Arabidopsis thaliana: one gene and its partners. The protein of the gene in region 1 purifies or fractionates together with the protein of each later gene. This does not show direct contact. Each region holds a gene or a part of one and is shown in the gene's direction. Other genes may lie near its edges. The genes, in order: AP1, SYD, KNAT3 and CHR17.

Region 1 (6,397 bases):
TCGAGATATTGTATATAAAATATGTATGCTACATCGAATAATAAACTGAAAGAGAGTAAAAAGGGATATTTAATGGGAAGAAAAGAAGGGTGGAGATGTAACAAAGGCGAAGATAATGGATATTCTTGGGATGTTGTCTTCAAGGCCACGAGCTTAGATTCTTTTAGTTTTGCTCAATTTGTTAAGTTTCTACTTTTCCTTTTGTTGCTTACTACTTTTGCTCATGATCTCCATATACATATCATACATATATATAGTATACTATCTTTAGACTGATTTCTCTATACACTATCTTTTAACTTATGTATCGTTTCAAAACTCAGGACGTACATGTTTAAATTTGGTTATATAACCACGACCATTTCAAGTATATATGTCATACCATACCAGATTTAATATAACTTCTATGAAGAAAATACATAAAGTTGGATTAAAATGCAAGTGACATCTTTTTAGCATAGGTTCATTTGGCATAGAAGAAATATATAACTAAAAATGAACTTTAACTTAAATAGATTTTACTATATTACAATTTTTTCTTTTTACATGGTCTAATTTATTTTTCTAAAATTAGTATAATTGTTGTTTTGATGAAACAATAATACCGTAAGCAATAGTTGCTAAAAGATGTCCAAATATTTATAAATTACAAAGTAAATCAAATAAGGAAGAAGACACGTGGAAAACACCAAATAAGAGAAGAAATGGAAAAAACAGAAAGAAATTTTTTAACAAGAAAAATCAATTAGTCCTCAAACCTGAGATATTTAAAGTAATCAACTAAAACAGGAACACTTGACTAACAAAGAAATTTGAAACGTGGTCCAACTTTCACTTAATTATATTGTTTTCTCTAAGGCTTATGCAATATATGCCTTAAGCAAATGCCGAATCTGTTTTTTTTTTTTTTGTTATTGGATATTGACTGAAAATAAGGGGTTTTTTCACACTTGAAGATCTCAAAAGAGAAAACTATTACAACGGAAATTCATTGTAAAAGAAGTGATTAAGCAAATTGAGCAAAGGTTTTTATGTGGTTTATTTCATTATATGATTGACATCAAATTGTATATATATGGTTGTTTTATTTAACAATATATATGGATATAACGTACAAACTAAATATGTTTGATTGACGAAAAAAAATATATGTATGTTTGATTAACAACATAGCACATATTCAACTGATTTTTGTCCTGATCATCTACAACTTAATAAGAACACACAACATTGAACAAATCTTTGACAAAATACTATTTTTGGGTTTGAAATTTTGAATACTTACAATTATTCTTCTCGATCTTCCTCTCTTTCCTTAAATCCTGCGTACAAATCCGTCGACGCAATACATTACACAGTTGTCAATTGGTTCTCAGCTCTACCAAAAACATCTATTGCCAAAAGAAAGGTCTATTTGTACTTCACTGTTACAGCTGAGAACATTAAATATAATAAGCAAATTTGATAAAACAAAGGGTTCTCACCTTATTCCAAAAGAATAGTGTAAAATAGGGTAATAGAGAAATGTTAATAAAAGGAAATTAAAAATAGATATTTTGGTTGGTTCAGATTTTGTTTCGTAGATCTACAGGGAAATCTCCGCCGTCAATGCAAAGCGAAGGTGACACTTGGGGAAGGACCAGTGGTCCGTACAATGTTACTTACCCATTTCTCTTCACGAGACGTCGATAATCAAATTGTTTATTTTCATATTTTTAAGTCCGCAGTTTTATTAAAAAATCATGGACCCGACATTAGTACGAGATATACCAATGAGAAGTCGACACGCAAATCCTAAAGAAACCACTGTGGTTTTTGCAAACAAGAGAAACCAGCTTTAGCTTTTCCCTAAAACCACTCTTACCCAAATCTCTCCATAAATAAAGATCCCGAGACTCAAACACAAGTCTTTTTATAAAGGAAAGAAAGAAAAACTTTCCTAATTGGTTCATACCAAAGTCTGAGCTCTTCTTTATATCTCTCTTGTAGTTTCTTATTGGGGGTCTTTGTTTTGTTTGGTTCTTTTAGAGTAAGAAGTTTCTTAAAAAAGGATCAAAAATGGGAAGGGGTAGGGTTCAATTGAAGAGGATAGAGAACAAGATCAATAGACAAGTGACATTCTCGAAAAGAAGAGCTGGTCTTTTGAAGAAAGCTCATGAGATCTCTGTTCTCTGTGATGCTGAAGTTGCTCTTGTTGTCTTCTCCCATAAGGGAAAACTCTTCGAATACTCCACTGATTCTTGGTAACTTCAACTAATTCTTTACTTTTAAAAAAATCTTTTAATCTGCTACTTTATATAGTTTTTTCCCCCTTAAGTTGACTACTTGATTTGCCCTAATTATTCACTACTGCTTTTGTTTATATATTTTCTAGGGCTTCCATTTTTGGATTTTTTGATTAGCCAGAAAAATGTTTAATACAAATTTGTATAATTTAAAAATCAAAACTTTAGGGCCGTAGTGAAGTGAACCCTAGAACACACTAATTATACCATAGTAATTACCTTGATATATTGTGCAATATTTATCAGCATCATATCTTCAAACTCAAGAGCATATAGAAGGGTGTATGTTTAATCTTTGAACTAGGGTTTTGATCCCTAACTCATAATGAATTCTTTTGTTCTCCAATAGCCATGTCTTTCGAATTTGCAGATCTAAGCTCTAATTGATGCCATAGTAAGAAAATAAGATCTGTAGTTTTCACTCGCTCACTGAGTTCGAGTTTTAAATGAAGTGTCGTTTCTTTTTTCATATATAAGTTGCAACTGGATTATAATTAAAAAATATTATGGGACGAGAAAATAAATTAAAATAGATATAGATAATAATGTCAAATTGAGAATTTTTTATTAGAAAGAATATTTAACTTACGAGTTGTTTTTTTTCAGCTGTAAAAGAATATCTAATTTGTTCTCACGACTGTGTCTTCATGTTTTGCAAATCTAAGCAAAGAAAATGTTTAAACTCGGATCTTAAGATTATGAACTCGTAATATAAAACACTATATAGTATTAAATTTGAACTAGTGTTGCTTCTTTTTCTATTTGACTTTAGAAATTAAAACTGAAACAAAGATGTCAAATCTGAGTAGGGAGTCTTTGACCTCTGGGGATCCATAAAAAGAATTAACTCCATCCTAAAATCGGCTTCTTACCGATGGTCAAACTTAGCTCCAACAAGCAACAGCTGTTCTTCTTTTTTTTTTTTTCTTTTTTTTTTTAAGCATTGTCCTTGTTCTGAAAAAAAATAAGATTGGTAAATTGGCAAGATTATAATAATTTATTATAATGTGTCGCATCTAAGAAGATTTTCTGTACCTAATTGTAGCAAAATTAAAGAAACCGCAGTTAGAACTCGAAGCTAAGAGCATAGGGTCTATGATTCATACTGTTTTGTTATTATAAAGGTATCATAGAGATCGGTACTTGATTTGTTATAGGAAATCTTGGTTTAATTGCATAAAACCATCATTAGATTTATCCTAAAATGTGATGATATTTTGGTTACATCTCCATATTATTTATATAATAAAATGATAATTGGTTGATGATAAAGCTAACCCTAATTCTGTGAAATGATCAGTATGGAGAAGATACTTGAACGCTATGAGAGGTACTCTTACGCCGAAAGACAGCTTATTGCACCTGAGTCCGACGTCAATGTATTTCAATAAATATTTCTCCTTTTAATCCACATATATATTATATCAATCTATTTGTAGTATTGATGAATTTTATTTGTATAAAACTTCTGGTACACAGACAAACTGGTCGATGGAGTATAACAGGCTTAAGGCTAAGATTGAGCTTTTGGAGAGAAACCAGAGGTACACATTTACACTCATCACATTTCTATCTAGGAAATCGATCGGGTTCCATTTTAAAGTAAGTTAAAATTCATTGATGCTATTGAAATTCAGGCATTATCTTGGGGAAGACTTGCAAGCAATGAGCCCTAAAGAGCTTCAGAATCTGGAGCAGCAGCTTGACACTGCTCTTAAGCACATCCGCACTAGAAAAGTATTGCCTTCTGCTATTTCGTTGAACATATCTATATAACTTAAACGTTTACAAGTGTTATTATAATGTGAACATTGAAATACATATGTGTATGTATCAATATATATATCAGTAATCAATATCAATTTGATATGTCTATAGGTTGGTTCGAATGTATGAGTTATGTTGTGTATTTTAAGACTCATATTACTTAAAGTAATGGGTTGTTAATGTTGATGTGTGTGTATGCAGAACCAACTTATGTACGAGTCCATCAATGAGCTCCAAAAAAAGGTATGTAAAACCCCTATCAAATGTATGTCTTATAGAGAAACGTATAGGAAAGCTAATTAACAATCGTGCCGTTTCGGAAATGACAGGAGAAGGCCATACAGGAGCAAAACAGCATGCTTTCTAAACAGGTAACACATGTCATCATTTCTCTTTCATCAACATGTTGTCCATTGCATTACTGTTACCTTCCACTGTTCTGCTCCACACTTCCAGCCAAGCTATACCTACGATATCTTCATATCTCCACTTAACTTCGGCACCATTAAATAAAAATAGAAAATCTTTGCAAATTGTTTGAAATAGCATAGATGTTGTCTATTGATTGATATAATCACCAGCCTGTACGTAGATATGGTTTGTCCGTTTAGTTTTAAGGTTGTCTCTCGGATTGAAAATATTTGAAACTTTGAAATGTTGTCCCATCATTCTACTTAGCTCATATCTATGTATATGAATATAGACACTACTCCTAATTATAAAAATGTTATAATAGTTCATTGCATGAGTGCAACTGTGAAAATAACTATTTGTAACCATTGCATATATATAGTTTCTTCACTTTGAAAATTGATGATGATAATATGGTTTGAAATAAATTTGCTGGCAGATCAAGGAGAGGGAAAAAATTCTTAGGGCTCAACAGGAGCAGTGGGATCAGCAGAACCAAGGCCACAATATGCCTCCCCCTCTGCCACCGCAGCAGCACCAAATCCAGCATCCTTACATGCTCTCTCATCAGCCATCTCCTTTTCTCAACATGGGGTAACAAAAAATTACTAATCAGTCTTAATTTAAAGCACATATGTTATGCAAGCTAGTTACGTTAGGTGTTGTAATTTCATTGAAGTTATAGCTGTTAGTGATGGTTACATGATGTCATGATTTTGAAACTAGAAAACTTTATTTTAAAACATTATTTTATTAACGTAGGTTAATGCAATGGTCGCCAAACGAACAAACTTATTAGTGTGGAAAATGTACATGGAATGGTTGCGAAAAGCCTAAGTCGACTTTTTGTTGTTGTTGGTCTATGTGTTTAAGTACAATTTTAGTTTGTTAGATAAATGAAATTAATATATCTTTGACATTTCACAATGGACTGATATTTGATTTTCCTTTGTTGTACGGTGAAACATATGATTACATATGCACTTTCATATATATCCTATGTATGATTGTGAATGCAGTGGTCTGTATCAAGAAGATGATCCTATGGCAATGAGGAGGAATGATCTCGAACTGACTCTTGAACCCGTTTACAACTGCAACCTTGGCTGCTTCGCCGCATGAAGCATTTCCATATATATATTTGTAATCGTCAACAATAAAAACAGTTTGCCACATACATATAAATAGTGGCTAGGCTCTTTTCATCCAATTAATATATTTTGGCAAATGTTCGATGTTCTTATATCATCATATATAAATTAGCAGGCTCCTTTCTTCTTTTGTAATTTGATAAGTTTATTTGCTTCAATATGGAGCAAAATTGTAATATATTTGAAGGTCAGAGAGAATGAACGTGAACTTAATAGATCGGACCTTTTTTTTTTTTTGTTGCATTAAGTTAGGAGTGGCAAAATTTCTTATTATTTCAAGTTTACAACAAGCGAACTTGAGTGGTTGGGCCGTATTAATCGGAATAGAACCCAATTAGAATCAAGGAAGGATGTTGGCCTATAAAGGCCCAGAATTTGCTTCTAATTAGATAAGATAGGCAATAATAACAGTGCCTCCGAATGGATGAGGATCTGTAATGTAACACCCTGGTAGTCTCTCTGATACATTTGTTTGATTAGTGATCGAATAATTAGTGTGTATTGACTTGTTTCATGGAGCTAAGGACACGAGACTTACAGTAAAGGGACCAGTGAAAATGCCCACTAAGGTTCTTAAGATATATCACCACCAGAAAGGCACGTTGTGGTAAGCGTAACTCTCACATTATCTTCTCTTCATCTACATTCAGTAAAATGTTGCTAAACTCAAGAAAAGGCACGTTGTGGTAAGCGTAACTCTCACATTATCTTCTCTTCGTTGTATTCCTGCTAATTTTTTTAGAAAACAATTTCTGTATTAAACATTTTGGTAATTATATTGTT
Region 2 (4,562 bases), on another chromosome or scaffold:
GTGAAACAGCACCGCAAGCTGCTCTTCTCTAACACTAGCAAGCGTCACAGTATCTCCAAATACGGCTCGGAAAGGCAGAGGCAGACGCGGTTCAAATCTTGAAATCAAAGGATAGTAGAAAATCAGGGTGATCTAGTGATGGTAGACCATGAAATGGGATCTCTTCTAGGGCATACCAGTAAGTGTTTCCCTTTAGAGACACGCCACTGTGTTTGTACAAAATATACCAGTCTGGAGTGAAATCATCAATGACCTCCCATGAATTGGAGTATAAACTGTAAATCTGAAGCTCACGAATTCGGTCCCTACTGGTCTCCAAGTACTCATTCACGAATCTCAAGATTTTGTGATTCTTTTTCTCGTATCCGAGAGCGTACTTCACGCACTTGTGGTAGATAGAATTTCTAGGTAATTCGATATACCTTGTTTGTCCCAAATAAGGGTTCCAAACAACAACCCTAGAAGAGTCTTTGTCTCTGTCCTTGTTGATGCATAAGAATAAACCCTTGGCAGTGAAAGATTTTAGATATTTTGATTCCATCTGCATTGAGATTACCTATAGGATCTATAGACGGAGAGAGTAGATCTACGCTCATCAAGGAAACTCTATAGTCCATCATCATCACCACCTCAATTCCATTCCTCTGTTTCTTCTTTAAAAAGCTCTCACTTTTCGTTATAGTGTTCCACTTTTTGCAGGTCAATCGCAGTTTCCCCAGAGATTTCACCGGAACCCTAGAGAGCACCTCCTCCTCCATATCAATTGGAAGATCGAACATCTTCGAATCGAATCTCCCAAAATCTCTCTCTCTTTTCCGTGTCTATCAATCCATCTCTTCACGCCCTCTTTTAGTGATATAACTTATCTTTTTCAATTTGGGCTTTATGGTAATGGGTCAAGGCCCATTAAGGGGTCTCGTTTAGAACTCTTGATTAATGTCTGAAATAAGTTTTATACATTTCTTCATTTGGAGAGTCATTTCGCAGAGACGACGCATAGCTTCTTCACTTGTCAGCTCTCAACGTTTCTCACCTGAAATTTCACTTCTGCTTCGTCTTCTCGAGCCGGATCTCTAATTTGTAAAGCTCCCTCTCTCTTTCTTCTTGTTCTTCTTCGTCTCCTTCTACACTGATGGATCGTTATTTAGCTATTTAGGGTTTTGTGAGTTGCATTAACTAGAGTAACTCGCGAATTCTTCTCCTTTGCCTTGCGATTTGGGGAATTTTTTAGCTCCATCAGCCAATTTTACAATTTTGTATGTATCCGTGGATTTATCACATGAATTGTGGACCTCTGAGTTTTTTTTTTTTGTTAGGTTCTTCTCGCTTTAGTTTTGCTTTTAGGTACATAAATTTTCCTCCTTTATGATTTACTTGCTCTTGGGCTATTTTCTTTTATTTGTTTGGTATGGAGTATGGACTCTAGAGTTTAGTTTAGTTTTTTTTTTTGGGCACATTGGTTGGAATTAGTCTTGTTTTATTCTGAATTGTGTAATCAATATCTGCATGCTTGTGGTGATGCAGGGAATTCTTATGTGATGGTGTAATTTAAGTTAAGATGACGTCTTCTTCGCATAATATTGAGTTGGAAGCAGCTAAGTTTCTGCATAAACTTATTCAAGATTCTAAAGATGAACCTGCAAAGCTAGCAACTAAACTTTATGTGGTAATGTGGCTTCACCACTCAGTGTATGTTTTATTTTGTAATTTTGAGCTTTATTCCTGTGCTTTAACTTTGTTTATTCTTTCGATTACTCTAGATATTGCAGCACATGAAAACCAGTGGAAAGGAAAACACAATGCCCTATCAAGTCATATCTAGGTATTGTTTTCCTTATATATCGTCGCTGGTTATTTGTTAATGAATTACTGATTAGGTTGAGATGATATAATCTTCTTACGCTGTGAGGACGTGGGGGCTGCTTCTTACTGAATCAGTTGCTTTAGCCTTTATCTAACTCAAGACTTTAGAATCTAGTTATTCTGGGTCTTTCAGCGTCAAGCTGTTTCTCATGCTTTCAAAGATTTATCACTTTTGTTTTACTGATAAAGTCTTTCTAAAACTCCCAGGGCCATGGACACTGTAGTCAATCAACACGGTCTTGACATTGAAGCTTTGAAGTCCTCGTGTCTTCCTCATCCTGGTGGTACCCAAACGGAAGATTCTGGGTCTGCACATTTGGCTGGTATATCCTCTCTCCTTTGTTTCAGTTGAGTGTTTCAATTGTTTTTTTTATTTATTTATTTATTATCTTAAGCTTCTTGCATCAATGTGGAATACAGGGTCTTCCCAAGCGGTTGGAGTTAGCAATGAGGGTAAAGCAACTCTAGTTGAAAATGAGATGACAAAATACGATGCATTCACTTCTGGTAGGCAGCTTGGTGGATCAAACAGTGCGTCACAAACCTTTTACCAAGGGTCTGGAACTCAAAGTAACAGATCATTTGATCGTGAGAGTCCATCCAACTTGGATTCTACGTCTGGAATTTCTCAACCTCACAATCGTAGTGAGACAATGAATCAAAGAGATGTCAAGTCGAGTGGAAAGAGAAAGAGAGGTGAATCATCACTTTCATGGGACCAGAATATGGATAACTCTCAAATATTTGATAGCCACAAGATTGATGATCAAACTGGAGAAGTAAGCAAAATAGAAATGCCCGGTAATTCAGGTAGGGATATTTGCTTCAACATTGTTTCTTACAGAACAAAGCATATCCTTTTTAATCTAGAATATAAGAAGCACCCTACAATTGTTGCCATTAAACCTCAGGTGACATTAGGAATTTGCATGTTGGGTTGTCCTCAGATGCATTCACGACTCCACAGGTACATAACACTAAGTTTCCCGAATCCATCCAGATTATATACATATTGTGTACATAACATTAGGTTTATGAAATCATTTTGAGCCTCCCTGACTCTGCCAATTTCAAATATTTTGGGACTTTGTGCTACACGTATCTGATGCACAATAACTTCTTAAGAATGTATAAAGAGATATATGCTGGCACATGGTGGCTTATTCTCCGAAACATTTGTCTCTCCTTAGAAGTATTATTTTCTTATCTATTTTCGTTTTCTGTATTGGAAATATGAAAAAAATGCTTGCATTTCCCGTGGTGATTTTCTTTGTTTTTTAACCTAAAAAACTTAGATGCCACTAAATTCACTTTTTCAAAAACGTGATTTGATTAAAACTTTGCCTTCTATATGATGTATTGAATCTTACTTGCATATAGTCTGACTTAGGCTCTGCAAAATGTCCTTTCCTCTTTTATTTCATACCAAGATACCTCGTTGGAACTCATCCCCTCTATATGTGGGATCTTATTTTCTATGGCAGTGTGGCTGGCAGAGCAGTGAAGCCACAGCAATCAGGCCTGCAATTCATAAAGAACCTGGAAATAATGTTGCAGGAGAGGGATTCCTGCCTTCAGGTTCACCTTTTAGAGAGCAACAACTGAAGCAGCTCAGAGCCCAGTGCCTTGTGTTTCTAGCTCTTAGGTACCTTACAGTCTCCTAGCCTCTGTATACTCCTTTTGGTGCGGCAATTGTAACTCTAAAAATTTCTGGTTGATTTTCATCTCGTAGAAATGGTTTGGTACCGAAGAAACTTCACGTAGAGATTGCCCTTCGAAATACTTTCCGCGAAGAAGGTAATGTTGGTGCTCACTGAAGTTACTTTCGAATCCACTTTTTACATGCTTTCCCTTGGATCATAATTGGTCTTCATTACAGATGGTTTCCGCGGAGAATTGTTTGATCCGAAAGGGAGAACACATACGTCCAGTGATCTGGGTGGCATTCCTGACGTCTCTGCACTGTTGTCAAGAACAGACAATCCCACTGGAAGATTGGATGAAATGGACTTCTCATCCAAAGAAACTGAGAGATCAAGACTAGGGGAAAAAAGTTTCGCAAATACTGTATTTTCTGACGGGCAAAAGCTTCTAGCATCTAGAATTCCCAGCTCTCAAGCACAAACTCAGGTTGCTGTTAGTCATTCTCAACTAACGTTTTCTCCTGGTTTGACCAAAAACACACCATCAGAGATGGTGGGGTGGACTGGAGTAATCAAAACTAATGACCTCTCAACTTCTGCTGTTCAACTCGACGAATTTCATTCTTCTGGTTAGTGACTATCTTAGATGGGATTGTTTTAACTGATGGGTCTTTCCCTTTTGGAGTGTAGTATTGTTAACTAATTTGATTGATAACTCTTCGAATATGGATATATGGCACATAGCAGATGAAGAGGAAGGTAATTTGCAACCGTCGCCTAAGTACACCATGTCACAGAAATGGATTATGGGTCGACAGAATAAGAGACTATTGGTTGATCGTAGTTGGTCCCTTAAACAGCAGAAAGCCGACCAGGCAATTGGTTCACGGTTCAATGAGTTGAAGGTCTTTCTCTAGCCTTTTCTTTCATTGGTGTTACCTTTTGTTTCACGAGTGATTGATTTTTCCTGGTGTCAACGTTTTATGCTGTTGCTTGTTGTTTGTGGTGGTTCTTACTTTTCCGTGTTCTTGATCTTGTTATTGGAACAGATCAATG
Region 3 (4,806 bases), on another chromosome or scaffold:
CGTTTAAGTTTTTAACCAAACTCAAATAAATAAAAAAATATACGATAACTTTTATTGTGACGATCGAATATACTACCATCAAATTTTATACCAAATTTCTGTTTCGTAGCATGTACGAAAATTTTCACTCCAAAAAAAATCTAAAAATTATATTTACCAAAAACTGTGATTTCAGAAAATTATGTGATTTTAAAGAACCAGTGATTTCTCAAATTATATTATATGAAATGATTATTATTATTTTAAAAAGGTGAAAGGGTGAAGCAAAAAAATAGTGTGCATAAACAAATAAGCTAATTTGTTTTCTGGTACTTAGGTCTTTTAAATCCATATAAATAAATTCTTAAAAGATTGTTTTATTTCAAATCTTTAACCTAAAATTGTAACTTTAAATTCATGATTAAATTTTTTGTTTTCAATAATTTCTCGTAACTTCATTACATAAAACGAGAAGGATTTATAATAGGTAAAGGCGTGAAGCAAAAAATAATTGTATAAATAAATAAGTTAAATTTGTTTCATAGTGCCATAAAATTACACTAACATCTGAACGTGAAACGCACGCGCTTCTTCATATCATAGATACGTTGCGTCTTAAAACACAACACGTAGCAACTCTTTTTAAAAAGGAAAAATACATTTATTATTCCCAACAATAAAAAAAATCAAACACAGTCGAAGAAGGCAACGACCTTTCGCAGCCGTCAGATCTTAATAAATACAGTCGCCACTAAAATTTAACGACATAGATCGAACCATGACGACCTACTTTCTTTAATTAATTTTCTGTCGTGACCTAATCTTCTATTTGTTGTTTCATTAGTCACTTACTTTTATATTTATTCTTTCTTAGGTCTATGTGGACCAAAGTGATTGGAAAAGAAAAAAAAATACATTTTTGTCAACCATAACTAAATTATCTTATTTTCTCAAATGCACTGTTTATTATGTAGCGTACTGATTTATTAAATACTTTTGCTTTCTATGGTTAATTTATGATGTCGGATTTTTATCTTTCCCCCAATAATAATATCACTATAGAAGAAAGTTTACAAATTCTTAGTTAAATCAAAAAAGATTTTATCAGTTGATTTGATTATACGAGGTGACATCAATTTTTGTCTTCTTTAACAAAAAAAATCAATTTTTGTTTTCTTTAACAAAAAAAATCAATTTTTGTCTTACTTTTTAATTAGCATTTAGAAAAATATTTAACAAATAAAAGTTCTCATAAGCGATTTTTAAAAAAATGTTTTGTTTTTACTATCTTTCAGTTTTTTTTTTTAAATTAATTTTCTAAAAAAACACATATATTAAAAAACATATTAAAACTAATTATAAACATATTATCTTTTGTGATTTATATTTTTTTATAATTCTAAACCAATGATATTCAATTATTTATCTTAAAATTAAAAATTTATCAATAATAACTAATAAATAATGTATAGAAAATTTAAAAATTATTTTTTTTAAAACAATTTTTTTCCTCTAAAAAATTAAATAATAAGGAATAGAGAAGGAATATTTTTTTATCTAATAAATTCCATATAATAATTCAATTATATTGATAAATAGGTTGCAAAAAATAAGAAAGAATAAATATGAGAATAAATGGTCATCTCTCGATCTCTCAGCTCTGTGCAACTCTGAACACACCCACACATATATACTCAGATACATACATACACACCACAAAAACCAATTATTTTCCAATTTTAAGAAAAGTTTCTGTGTCTTTTTTTTTTTTTTTGGTGATAATTGAAACATATGAAACAATCGTCGTCATAGAAGCAGCAGAGATTCACCTTCTTTCTTTATCTTTCCCTCTCAGAAACAGGAAACAAAATTCAAAAAGAACAAAAAAAAAAAGGTCAAACCAAAACGATGGCGTTTCATCACAATCATCTCTCACAAGACCTCTCCTTCAATCATTTCACCGACCAACACCAACCTCCACCTCCGCAACCGCCTCCTCCTCCTCCGCAACAGCAACAACATTTCCAAGAAGCACCGCCTCCTAATTGGTTAAACACAGCGCTTCTTCGTTCCTCAGATAACAACAATAACTTCCTCAACCTCCACACAGCCACCGCTAACACCACAACCGCAAGCAGCTCCGATTCTCCTTCCTCCGCCGCCGCCGCCGCCGCTGCTAACCAGTGGCTATCTCGCTCCTCCTCTTTCCTCCAACGAAACAACAACAACAACGCTTCCATAGTCGGAGATGGGATCGATGATGTCACCGGAGGAGCAGACACTATGATTCAGGGAGAGATGAAAACCGGCGGTGGAGAAAACAAAAACGACGGCGGAGGAGCTACGGCGGCGGATGGAGTAGTGAGCTGGCAGAATGCGAGACACAAGGCGGAGATCCTTTCGCATCCTCTTTACGAGCAGCTTTTGTCGGCGCACGTTGCTTGTTTGAGAATCGCGACTCCGGTTGATCAGCTTCCGAGAATCGATGCTCAGCTTGCTCAGTCTCAACACGTCGTCGCTAAATACTCAGCTTTAGGCGCCGCCGCTCAAGGTCTCGTCGGCGACGATAAAGAACTTGACCAGTTCATGGTATATAAATTTCAGATTTTTTTGTTCTATAATTTTATAATTAACGATTTCATAATTATACTTAGCACAAATTTTAATAATACACACCGACTTAGGTTTCTTGATTTTTGAAATCTTAAAATATTAAAATCAAGATTTGTGTTTTTAGGGATAAACAAGACTAAAATCCCAAAAAAAGAGCTTATGATATAATAATGGTCATGATGATGAAGAAAATACAAATTTTGTTCTTTGTGTTTATTGTGTGTTTGATTAATGTTTTTTTTATGGTGTAGACACATTATGTGTTGCTACTGTGTTCATTTAAAGAGCAATTGCAACAACATGTGCGTGTTCATGCAATGGAAGCTGTGATGGCTTGTTGGGAGATTGAGCAGTCTCTTCAAAGCTTAACAGGTGAGAAAATGAATCCTGTGATTAGCTCATGAATCCAATAGTTAGTTTTATGACATTGACAAGTTTTGTGTTTTATTGGTGAGATTAGGAGTGTCTCCTGGAGAAGGGATGGGAGCAACAATGTCTGACGATGAAGATGAACAAGTAGAGAGTGATGCTAATATGTTCGATGGGGGATTAGATGTGTTGGGTTTTGGTCCTTTGATTCCTACTGAGAGTGAGAGGTCGTTGATGGAAAGAGTTAGACAAGAACTTAAACATGAACTCAAACAGGTAATAATCAACAAACTTGTTCTTTGAACTAGTTCATGAACTAACAATGTAGAGGGCTTTGTCTTGTTGATGAAAAGGGTTACAAGGAGAAGATAGTAGACATAAGAGAGGAGATATTAAGGAAGAGAAGAGCTGGGAAGTTACCAGGAGATACCACCTCTGTTCTCAAAGCTTGGTGGCAATCTCATTCCAAATGGCCTTACCCTACTGTGAGTTCACTCATCTAACATCTCTTTATAACTTCTTCAAGTTCATTCATTGAGCCATAACCAAATATTGGTTTGTAGGAGGAAGATAAGGCGAGGTTGGTGCAAGAGACAGGTTTGCAGCTAAAACAGATAAACAATTGGTTCATCAATCAGAGAAAGAGGAACTGGCATAGCAATCCATCTTCTTCCACTGTATTGAAGAACAAACGCAAAAGGTATTATTATACTTTAATATAGTCTTGTAACATAACCGAAAAACTTATGGATCGGACTCAAAGAAGACTGAAACTTTTGTTTGTCTGATGAAAGCAATGCAGGTGACAATAGCGGAAGAGAGCGGTTCGCGTAGAAACAACAAACATATGATGTGAATTGGGGAGGTGGAAGATGGGATTTGAAAGCAGGGTTTTAGGGATTTAAAGTTGAGAATTTTATGGAGGAGTTTGGATTATACAGAGAGAGGGGACAGTATTAGAAAGTAACTTTTTGTGCAATTACATAGTAACGTAGTTTGGTTATGTGATTATGCCCATATATTTTATTAAGTAGCACACAAACCAAAAAGAAAATATGAAAACTGAAGATGCAGGCTTTTGTTTAATGTTTTTTGTTTGTTTGTCTGCATGAGTTTTTTTTTTATGAACCATCAGATAATCATCATCATCATCCATAATATATCTTGTGAATAAAGATAGTGAGAGAGGAGAACATTGGGATGCACAAGTTTTCTTAATCTACTAGTATATGTTACGCATTGACCAGGTGCATATGTTAATTTGTATCGCACCACTTGGTTAGCTTAATCTATGTGACTATTATACAGTATATGTTTCGCATTAACCGTACTTAACCCATCTTATGATTCTTATCCGCTTAGTTCGTAGTATTTATTGCGATGTCACATTCCAACTCGTGATATTGGCTTGATAAGTAAAAGACATTATACATGGTAGATGACGACAAAAAATAAAACATACCCCATCTTACATAACGTAGCTTGCTGCGTACTTTTGTAATTGTAATAATTTGAAACGTGTTCTTTTTTCTAGTCAAAATTGTTTGTTTATCCTCATCTTGTTGTTTCGTTTGTCACGTTTGTGATAGCCACAAGTTACTGTAAGTTTTCGGCGAGATTTTTCTATCGATCACGGAGAGATTCTGCACACATTAACAAAGATAATTAGAGTGTCCTTAAGTATTTTGGTCGCCTCTCTATTAGAGGACCATACAAAGTTCAAAGACTAGTCTCATGAGAAGCCCATTAGTACATTAGATTAAATCTAGGAAAGTAGATTCATATAAGTAGTTTTGTAATGAACATCAAAGTTGTTAACTTAGAGAATTGTCATTTGGATTGTAT
Region 4 (8,003 bases), on another chromosome or scaffold:
TTATGCGAAGGAGTAGCTTTTAGATTACAATGACTAGAATAAAACCTGTGTTCTTGAGTTCCCCGAAATGCAATAATGATAGCATTCAAATCCTTAGCCACCCCAACATACGCCTGTTGTTACAAGTTACATGTACTGATATTAATAATTGTTCAATGAAGAAACATCATGAGTTCATGACCAGCTGTAGCTTATGATATCAGAGCAGACCTGTAAGCAGTGTTCAACGTCAAATATGACCTCTATTACTTCGAAATCCTGCACCATCCTAACAAACGTTAGAGCTCAACTCAATAATTGCGGCTTCAAAGTTCAAACAGTGATCTGCTTCAACATGTGTTTTTTACCTTTGTCAAACCATTGCATCTTTCGCACGTCCAAGTGAAGAGTTTTGTCAAATCAGACTCATAGACCTGCATACATCTTACAAACTTGATTCACTCATCTTATGTACGTTATCAGCATCATCTCTTTTCTCTAGTAGTGCAAATAATGATAAATGAAAATATGAAGAGGACAAGTGTAATTTCTTCTCACTTGCAGAACACTAGATATAAATGACATTCGTTCTACAGGGTATTACGTTTTGAAGCTAAATCATTATCAAAGGTCTTTTACTACTTCACTAATCTGCCATTAACTTACCGCAGAGGCATACTCCACAAGCGTGACGGCAAGCGTATGGTTGTAAACAGGTCGATCATCATCGCTCTTCAACTTGAGAACTGCAGTTAGAAGAAAGAAGCTAACATAAATCCACTTGCTTCAGTCTTAACTCCTTCGTAGCCTCACAACTCATACCAAGAACATGAAATTGTCGAAAACATAAAGCTTTGAAATCAATATTTTGACCTTCATGGTTCCTTATGTATATGATGATGCTACAAGGATTATGAATTGATTTGTTCCAAACATGATAGAACATGTAATTAGGCCTTAATGAAAAATCACTGTAGCCAGATTAAATTTCCAATTTCCCAAGCACTTCACATTACACAGAAAGTTTAAAATCTTAATTAAGCTCAGAGAGACTCAGGAGAATAAAAAAACTGGAAGTCCCAATAAAGGAAACAGACATAGAATCATTATAGAAGTTGCATTACCACCTCTACCATATGAAGATGAAACAAGAAAAGTAAAAACTGCCAGCAAGAACAACAATCTCTTTTGTCCCATGTTCTGCAAGAAGACAATAAACACAACCACATCATCCTCTGTTCATCAACCAATGTTAAGGGCAAAATTGAGCTAAAACAAAGCAGAATTCGGAAGCAAATTAGCCAAAAATATACCTTATAAAACGAGACTCACGAAACCCAAACTAATGAGGATTAGGACAAAACCCGAAAGAGATTTCAGCAACCAAAAGTCCCAGATAAATTAAACTGAGGATCCAAAGCCTAAATTGGACTTCTTTTACAACAATTCGGAAATTTCCGACGATGATCGGAGATTATTCCCGGCAAGAAAATTATACGGCGAGCTTATATATTATTATATAGAAGTCGTGATCTTGCGAAACAGAAGCTAATAGAAGAAAAGAAACGGCGATTAAAATACGAATATTCGGTTTTTTTTTTCTTAACTTCCACTTTCATCCTCTATACGCAAAGGTGCATGAGACAAGCGTGTAGGCTCTTTCAAAGGGTATTATTGGAATTTTAGGTGTGTAGCGTGTCGCAACTTCAAGTGCTGAGGTGTCAGATACGTGATTCGGGCGGATAAATGGATAAGGCCGTTCCGTTATAAGAACGAGAAGTTGACCTTTTTGACTTTCGCTTTCTTCTAAGTTTAACTTCGAGCCCATGGGCCTTTAAAGCCCGAATTCCAAGGCGGGAATTTCCGAAACTCTTACTTCTCAAGTGGCGGGAGAATCTTTATAAGTCAAGCCAACGTGGCACATCTCAGCCGTAGATTTGATTTCTCGAAATCAACGGGGTAAAATAGAAGCTACGGTCGTTTCAAACGTCGGGTTTGTTGCTTTTAATTTCACTTTTGTTTATTTACTAACCAAAGCAAAAAAAACTCAGGAACCCTCGATTCGATCTCTCAGACGAAATCAGGATTCGTAGAGGCGCGTCGATGGCTAGAGCTTCGAAGCGGGAAGTTTCTTCAGACGAGGCTTACTCGTCGGAGGAAGAGGAGCAAGTTAACGATCAGGCCAATGTGGAAGAAGATGATGACGAGCTCGAGGCCGTCGCTCGCTCTGCGGGCTCTGACGAGGAAGATGTTGCGCCCGACGAAGCACCTGTCTCTGACGACGAGGTTGTCCCCGTAGAAGATGACGCTGAAGAGGTATGTCTTCGTTTCTGTTTTCCACTCTTCGATTTACATTCGCATGTCGGCTGTGAATTCGGGGATTGCTGTATTTGGAAATCTGAATGTATTCTAAGTAAGATTAGGGTTTCCTTTGAGCGTATATTCGATATTTGGGTGTCTTTTGGTTTCGACTCTCTTTGTTTGAAGGTTTATGCTTAGAAGTGCTTACAATGATGGGTGGTCGCTCATTATGATGGTACATTCATGTGACTCGTGAGGATATTTGGTCACTCTTTTCATAATTTGATGGTTATATGTAGGACGAAGAAGACGAGGAGAAAGCTGAGATCAGCAAACGTGAGAAGGCTAGACTCAAAGAAATGCAGAAGATGAAGAAGCAGAAAATTCAGCAAATCTTAGACTCCCAAAATGCTTCCATAGATGCTGATATGGTAAGTTAGTAAATAACTGAGCTGCTTGTCTTTAGTATCCAGAGGTATTGAAATAACTCAATCATTCCATTTATTAGAACAATAAAGGAAAGGGGAGGATAAAGTATCTTCTGCAGCAAACTGAGTTATTTGCACATTTTGCTAAAAGTGACCCGTCTCCGTCCCAGAAGAAGGGAAAAGGAAGGTGTGTTGAGTGCAACTTATCTCAAAATAAATTGTGGTTATTCATATTAAGTTTCCAGAAATATAATTTATTGGGTTTCACTTTATCGTCAGGGGTCGCCATTCTTCCAAACTAACCGAGGAAGAGGAAGATGAAGAGTGTTTAAAAGAAGAAGAGGGTGGTATAGTTGGATCTGGAGGCACACGGTTGCTCACTCAGCCCGCTTGTAAGTACCTTTGTTTTGCTCCTAATATCTTGATATAGCGTATGTTTGCTCAAGTCCTATTGCGAGTCGAAGTTATTATAGGATTTGACACCTTATGCCCACTTCTTTGATTGGTAGAGTTGTTTGATATATTCTTCAGTTGCGAGCTCACAATTTCTAGGTAGGACTGCATAAATTCTGTAGAATTTAGAGATCTGATCTTCATACTCTTCATATTGCAGGTATTCAGGGGAAGTTAAGAGATTACCAATTAGCTGGTTTAAACTGGCTCATTCGGCTGTATGAGAACGGCATAAATGGGATTCTTGCAGATGAAATGGTAAACCACTAATTATCTTAGCATATAATAAGATTTTTCAGCTCTCTAATGTTATCTGATGCTAATCTTTATTGTTTTTGTTCATGGTCTAGGGTCTGGGGAAGACGCTTCAAACCATTTCTTTGTTGGCTTACCTGCATGAGTACAGGGGAATTAATGGCCCTCATATGGTAGTTGCTCCAAAATCAACCCTTGGTAACTGGATGAATGAAATTCGCCGATTTTGTCCTGTCCTGCGTGCTGTGAAATTTCTCGGTAATCCCGAGGAAAGAGTAAGTCATAATAGCTCTTACATTTGAATGGTTGCATTTATATGCACCTGGCAGGATTCTGAGATATATTTTAAATAATGCAGAGACATATTCGTGAAGAACTGCTAGTTGCAGGGAAATTCGACATTTGTGTAACAAGCTTTGAGATGGCTATCAAAGAGAAGACAACATTGCGCCGTTTTAGCTGGCGATATATAATCATTGATGAAGCACATCGAATTAAAAATGAGAATTCACTCCTTTCGAAAACCATGAGACTTTTCAGCACCAACTATCGGCTTCTTATCACGGGAACCCCCCTTCAGGTACTTGTCAAATCTTTTGATCTATAATTGTTTAGATCCTTCAATTTTTCTGTCAGATTGCTTCTGCCTATGTTGAAACTACTTTCTTGCTTGAGTCTGTTGAACTTAGTTTTTTTTTCTTTTCGTGTTCCTTAGACATGCTTCTTACTATCTTCTGTACTTGATTTGCTTGAGTTAATATTGTATTCATTTCATATGTTTCTACTACAGAATAATCTCCATGAATTGTGGGCCCTTCTCAATTTTCTTCTCCCTGAGGTTTTTAGTTCAGCAGAAACTTTTGACGAGTGGTTTCAAATTTCTGGTGAAAACGACCAGCAAGAAGTTGTTCAACAACTTCACAAGGTATGTACTCATATTTTATCAAGGTTATTCTCTAAGTTCTTATGCTAATCATTTACCTCATCTTTGTAGGTTCTGCGACCATTTCTTCTTCGGAGGTTAAAATCAGATGTAGAGAAAGGCTTACCTCCAAAAAAGGAGACAATACTCAAAGTTGGCATGTCTCAAATGCAAAAACAGTACTACAAGGCTTTACTGCAGAAGGATCTTGAAGTGGTTAATGGTGGTGGAGAACGCAAACGTCTGTTGAACATAGCAATGCAATTGCGGAAATGCTGCAATCACCCTTATCTCTTCCAGGGTGCGGAGCCTGGTCCCCCATATACTACAGGAGATCACCTTGTAACAAACGCAGGTAAGATTTACATTACAAGTAGATCATTCAGAAATGTGGCAATTGGCTTAGTTATTTTCTCTTTACATGTTCTTGTTTCTAGGTAAGATGGTTCTCTTAGATAAATTGCTACCTAAGTTGAAGGATCGAGATTCAAGGGTTCTGATATTTTCTCAGGTATTCATTAACGCAAACAAATAATTGTTCCTATCTTTGATTCCTTTTTTCTGAGTGATATCTTTCTTGGTTCTTTGTGCTTATTCCAACGATTTTGCTCATCTGTATCAGATGACAAGGCTTTTGGATATTCTCGAGGATTACCTAATGTATCGTGGTTACCAGTACTGCCGTATTGATGGAAATACTGGTGGTGACGAACGAGATGCTTCCATAGAAGCCTATAACAAGCCAGGAAGTGAGAAATTCGTTTTCTTGTTATCCACTAGAGCTGGAGGACTTGGTATCAATCTTGCTACTGCAGATGTTGTGATCCTCTATGATAGTGACTGGTAAGGCTCTTTTTGTGTCCATTGTAATTTATGAGTGTTTTCTTTTATGCCTAATGAGGTGGGTGGATTATGGCAGGAACCCTCAAGTTGACTTGCAAGCTCAGGATCGTGCACATAGGATTGGTCAAAAAAAAGAAGTTCAAGTGTTCCGGTTCTGCACCGAGGTTACTCTTGTACCCATGTGTATGAAGTAAGAATGACCTGGAGAACTTGAACTAATTCTGCATTGGTCTTATGCAGAATGCTATTGAGGCTAAAGTCATTGAGAGAGCTTACAAGAAGTTGGCACTTGATGCTCTGGTTATTCAGCAAGGGAGATTGGCAGAACAGAAAAGTAAGTGCTTGTGTACTGAGGCTGTTAGATGTATTGGATTTTCTCTTACATATATATACTGATTTCTTTTCTTTGCTTTCCAGCTGTTAATAAGGATGAGTTGCTTCAAATGGTGAGATATGGTGCTGAAATGGTGTTTAGTTCTAAAGATAGCACAATTACGGATGAGGATATTGACAGAATCATTGCCAAAGGAGAAGAGGCAACGGCTGAACTTGATGCCAAGATGAAGAAATTTACTGAAGATGCAATACAGTTTAAAATGGATGACAGTAAGTGTGCTATTTATCCCTTTTTCCAATGGTAACTCCCTTGCATGGGTAATGGGATGTCCAAACAAGATAGTTTTTGGTTTGTTGCAGGTGCTGACTTTTATGATTTTGACGATGACAACAAGGTATTCTTGGATAATTAATTGAATGATTGAAGGAAAGGTTTAACGCATACTGTGGTTATGCTCTGCAGTTTTTCGAATATCGTTTCCTGATTTCTTTTTTAATTTTGTTTGGTAGGATGAGAGCAAGGTGGATTTTAAAAAGATTGTGAGTGAAAATTGGAATGATCCACCAAAAAGAGAGAGAAAGCGCAAGTAAATATTACTTCTACTTTTTCATTACGTGGTCTATCCTGTCTTCCTAAACAATATCTAACTTCAACAATTTACTTTTCTCTACCCACCCTTTAGCTACTCTGAAGTTGAATACTTCAAGCAAACGTTGCGACAAGGTGCTCCAGCTAAACCTAAAGAGCCTAGAATTCCACGCATGCCCCAATTGTGAGTACCTCAATTGTCTCCACTCTGCATTTAGCCTTTTCCCTGTCTTATTTATAGTACTTTTATCGTAAAAATCTAATTTCTTGTCCATCCTGCAGGCATGATTTTCAGTTCTTTAACATTCAGAGGCTGACTGAGCTGTATGAAAAAGAAGTGCGATACCTTATGGTGGGAATAACAAGTTTATCAACATGTTATGTAATTTATGCAGCTTTTGTGTCTGATTAGTTCTGAATAGCAATTTGTTTCACTCTGGTTTCAGCAAGCACATCAGAAAACTCAAATGAAAGACACAATTGAGGTTGATGAACCTGAAGGTCTTTCTCAGTCTTTGCCCTCTTTTCTTACATTATTTTACTGAATCTATTACTTAAGAAATAATTTTGCAGAAGTTGGAGATCCCTTAACTGCTGAAGAAGTGGAAGAAAAGGAGCTATTGCTGGAAGAGGCAAGCCAAACCATTCGACCTTACTGTGGGTTGACATTTGTTTTTGATGGTTTTTTTATAATTTAATGGAGTTGATATTTTTTAGGGTTTCTCAACATGGAGCAGAAGAGACTTCAATGCCTTCATTAGGGCTTGTGAGAAGTATGGCCGGAACGACATAAAGAGTATTGCCTCTGAGATGGAAGGGAAAACTGAGGAAGAGGTTGAACGATATGCTCAAGTTTTCCAAGTGCGATATAAAGAGCTGAATGGTTAGTAACTTTAGATTGTTAAGTAAAGTTAATGAGTGTTTGCAGTGCGACAAAGTTGGATATTTATCCTAAGTAAGCTCTGCCTCTTGTTTTCCTTTGTAAAAATTGTAGATTACGACAGAATCATCAAGAATATTGAGAGAGGGGAAGCAAGAATCTCTAGGAAAGATGAAATCATGAAAGCTATTGGGAAGAAACTGGATCGCTACAGAAACCCGTGGCTGGAACTGAAGATTCAATATGGTCAGAACAAAGGGAAGCTGTACAATGAAGAGTGCGACCGTTTCATGGTATGACATCTATTTATCAAACTCTTTGTTGAGATTTCATTGTTATTGTTTTATTCTAATATGATATTGACCCGATGAACTTGTGATTATCAGATATGCATGGTCCATAAACTTGGGTATGGAAACTGGGATGAGCTAAAGGCAGCGTTTCGGACATCCCCCTTGTTTAGGTTTGACTGGTTTGTAAAATCCCGCACAACTCAGGAACTTGCAAGGAGATGTGACACACTAATCAGGTTGATTGAGAAAGAGAATCAAGAATTTGATGAGAGAGAGAGGCAAGCCCGAAAAGAGAAGAAGCTTTCAAAGGTGAGGACTTGAAGGAACATTTTTTTTTTTTTGTGCGAAGAACATTTTAAGTTTACATTTTCATTTACTGATGAGATGCTGTGGAATTGTTTCTCATGATCTGTTCTACAACTTGTTTCAGAGTGCAACGCCATCAAAACGACCTTCGGGTAGGCAAGCAAATGAGAGCCCTTCATCTCTTCTGAAGAAACGAAAGCAGCTGTCAATGGATGATTATGTGAGCTCGGTACTCAAAATCATTTCCAAAACATAAAAAGAGTTTTTCATTTTACTGGTTAATTCATGCAAAGCAGACAGACCATCTATTTCTGATCCTAACTAAAAAAAAACTTTATGTCTCTGCAGGGAAAGCGTAGGAAATAAGAAGGCTTGTGTTGAATCCATCACTAAGTAATCAGAAAGATTTATGATCACT

The links.
Region 2: the proteins of AP1 (region 1) and SYD purify together in Arabidopsis thaliana (affinity purification with mass spectrometry, with the first as the bait; one study listed by BioGRID). This does not show direct contact.
Region 3: the proteins of AP1 (region 1) and KNAT3 purify together in Arabidopsis thaliana (affinity purification with mass spectrometry, with the first as the bait; one study listed by BioGRID). This does not show direct contact.
Region 4: the proteins of AP1 (region 1) and CHR17 purify together in Arabidopsis thaliana (affinity purification with mass spectrometry, with the first as the bait; one study listed by BioGRID). This does not show direct contact.

What each region holds. Positions count from the first base shown.
Region 1 is NC_003070.9:25,981,764-25,988,160, reverse strand, and holds AP1 (K-box region and MADS-box transcription factor family protein), read left to right. Parts: upstream 1-1,811; 5' UTR 1,812-2,058; coding exon 2,059-2,243; intron 2,244-3,223; exon of another isoform or gene 3,224-3,409; intron 3,410-3,585; coding exon 3,586-3,664; intron 3,665-3,764; coding exon 3,765-3,829; intron 3,830-3,922; coding exon 3,923-4,022; intron 4,023-4,253; coding exon 4,254-4,295; intron 4,296-4,381; coding exon 4,382-4,423; intron 4,424-4,902; coding exon 4,903-5,057; intron 5,058-5,225; coding exon of another isoform or gene 5,226-5,262; exon of another isoform or gene 5,263-5,482; coding exon 5,483-5,585; 3' UTR 5,586-5,867; downstream 5,868-6,397. UniProt on the Arabidopsis thaliana protein: Transcription factor that promotes early floral meristem identity in synergy with LEAFY. Is required subsequently for the transition of an inflorescence meristem into a floral meristem. Is indispensable for normal development of sepals and petals in flowers.
Region 2 is NC_003071.7:12,055,213-12,059,774, forward strand, and holds the start of SYD (P-loop containing nucleoside triphosphate hydrolases superfamily protein), read left to right. Parts: upstream 1-1,558; coding exon 1,559-1,666; intron 1,667-1,760; coding exon 1,761-1,822; intron 1,823-2,070; coding exon 2,071-2,186; intron 2,187-2,283; coding exon 2,284-2,673; intron 2,674-2,774; coding exon 2,775-2,830; intron 2,831-3,347; coding exon 3,348-3,508; intron 3,509-3,595; coding exon 3,596-3,660; intron 3,661-3,742; coding exon 3,743-4,135; intron 4,136-4,250; coding exon 4,251-4,411; intron 4,412-4,562. UniProt on the Arabidopsis thaliana protein: Catalytic component of the chromatin structure-remodeling complex (RSC), which is involved in transcription regulation and nucleosome positioning.
Region 3 is NC_003076.8:8,734,321-8,739,126, forward strand, and holds KNAT3 (homeobox protein knotted-1-like 3), read left to right. Parts: upstream 1-1,623; 5' UTR 1,624-1,887; coding exon 1,888-2,568; intron 2,569-2,843; coding exon 2,844-2,964; intron 2,965-3,052; coding exon 3,053-3,237; intron 3,238-3,314; coding exon 3,315-3,446; intron 3,447-3,524; coding exon 3,525-3,661; intron 3,662-3,755; coding exon 3,756-3,795; 3' UTR 3,796-4,281; downstream 4,282-4,806.
Region 4 is NC_003076.8:6,196,138-6,204,140, reverse strand, and holds the start of CHR17 (chromatin remodeling factor17), read left to right. Parts: upstream 1-1,974; 5' UTR 1,975-2,082; coding exon 2,083-2,295; intron 2,296-2,579; coding exon 2,580-2,711; intron 2,712-2,788; coding exon 2,789-2,895; intron 2,896-2,987; coding exon 2,988-3,100; intron 3,101-3,321; coding exon 3,322-3,419; intron 3,420-3,511; coding exon 3,512-3,691; intron 3,692-3,774; coding exon 3,775-3,996; intron 3,997-4,206; coding exon 4,207-4,341; intron 4,342-4,410; coding exon 4,411-4,693; intron 4,694-4,775; coding exon 4,776-4,849; intron 4,850-4,960; coding exon 4,961-5,181; intron 5,182-5,257; coding exon 5,258-5,345; intron 5,346-5,421; coding exon 5,422-5,515; intron 5,516-5,598; coding exon 5,599-5,787; intron 5,788-5,877; coding exon 5,878-5,912; intron 5,913-6,027; coding exon 6,028-6,104; intron 6,105-6,200; coding exon 6,201-6,290; intron 6,291-6,388; coding exon 6,389-6,458; intron 6,459-6,552; coding exon 6,553-6,607; intron 6,608-6,679; and 12 more. Other genes in the region: AT5G18630 (alpha/beta-Hydrolases superfamily protein), read right to left, coding at 46-113, 211-258, 348-413, 646-725, 1,104-1,176. UniProt on the Arabidopsis thaliana protein: Possesses intrinsic ATP-dependent nucleosome-remodeling activity. Constitutes the catalytic subunit of several complexes capable of forming ordered nucleosome arrays on chromatin. Involved in the formation of nucleosome distribution patterns.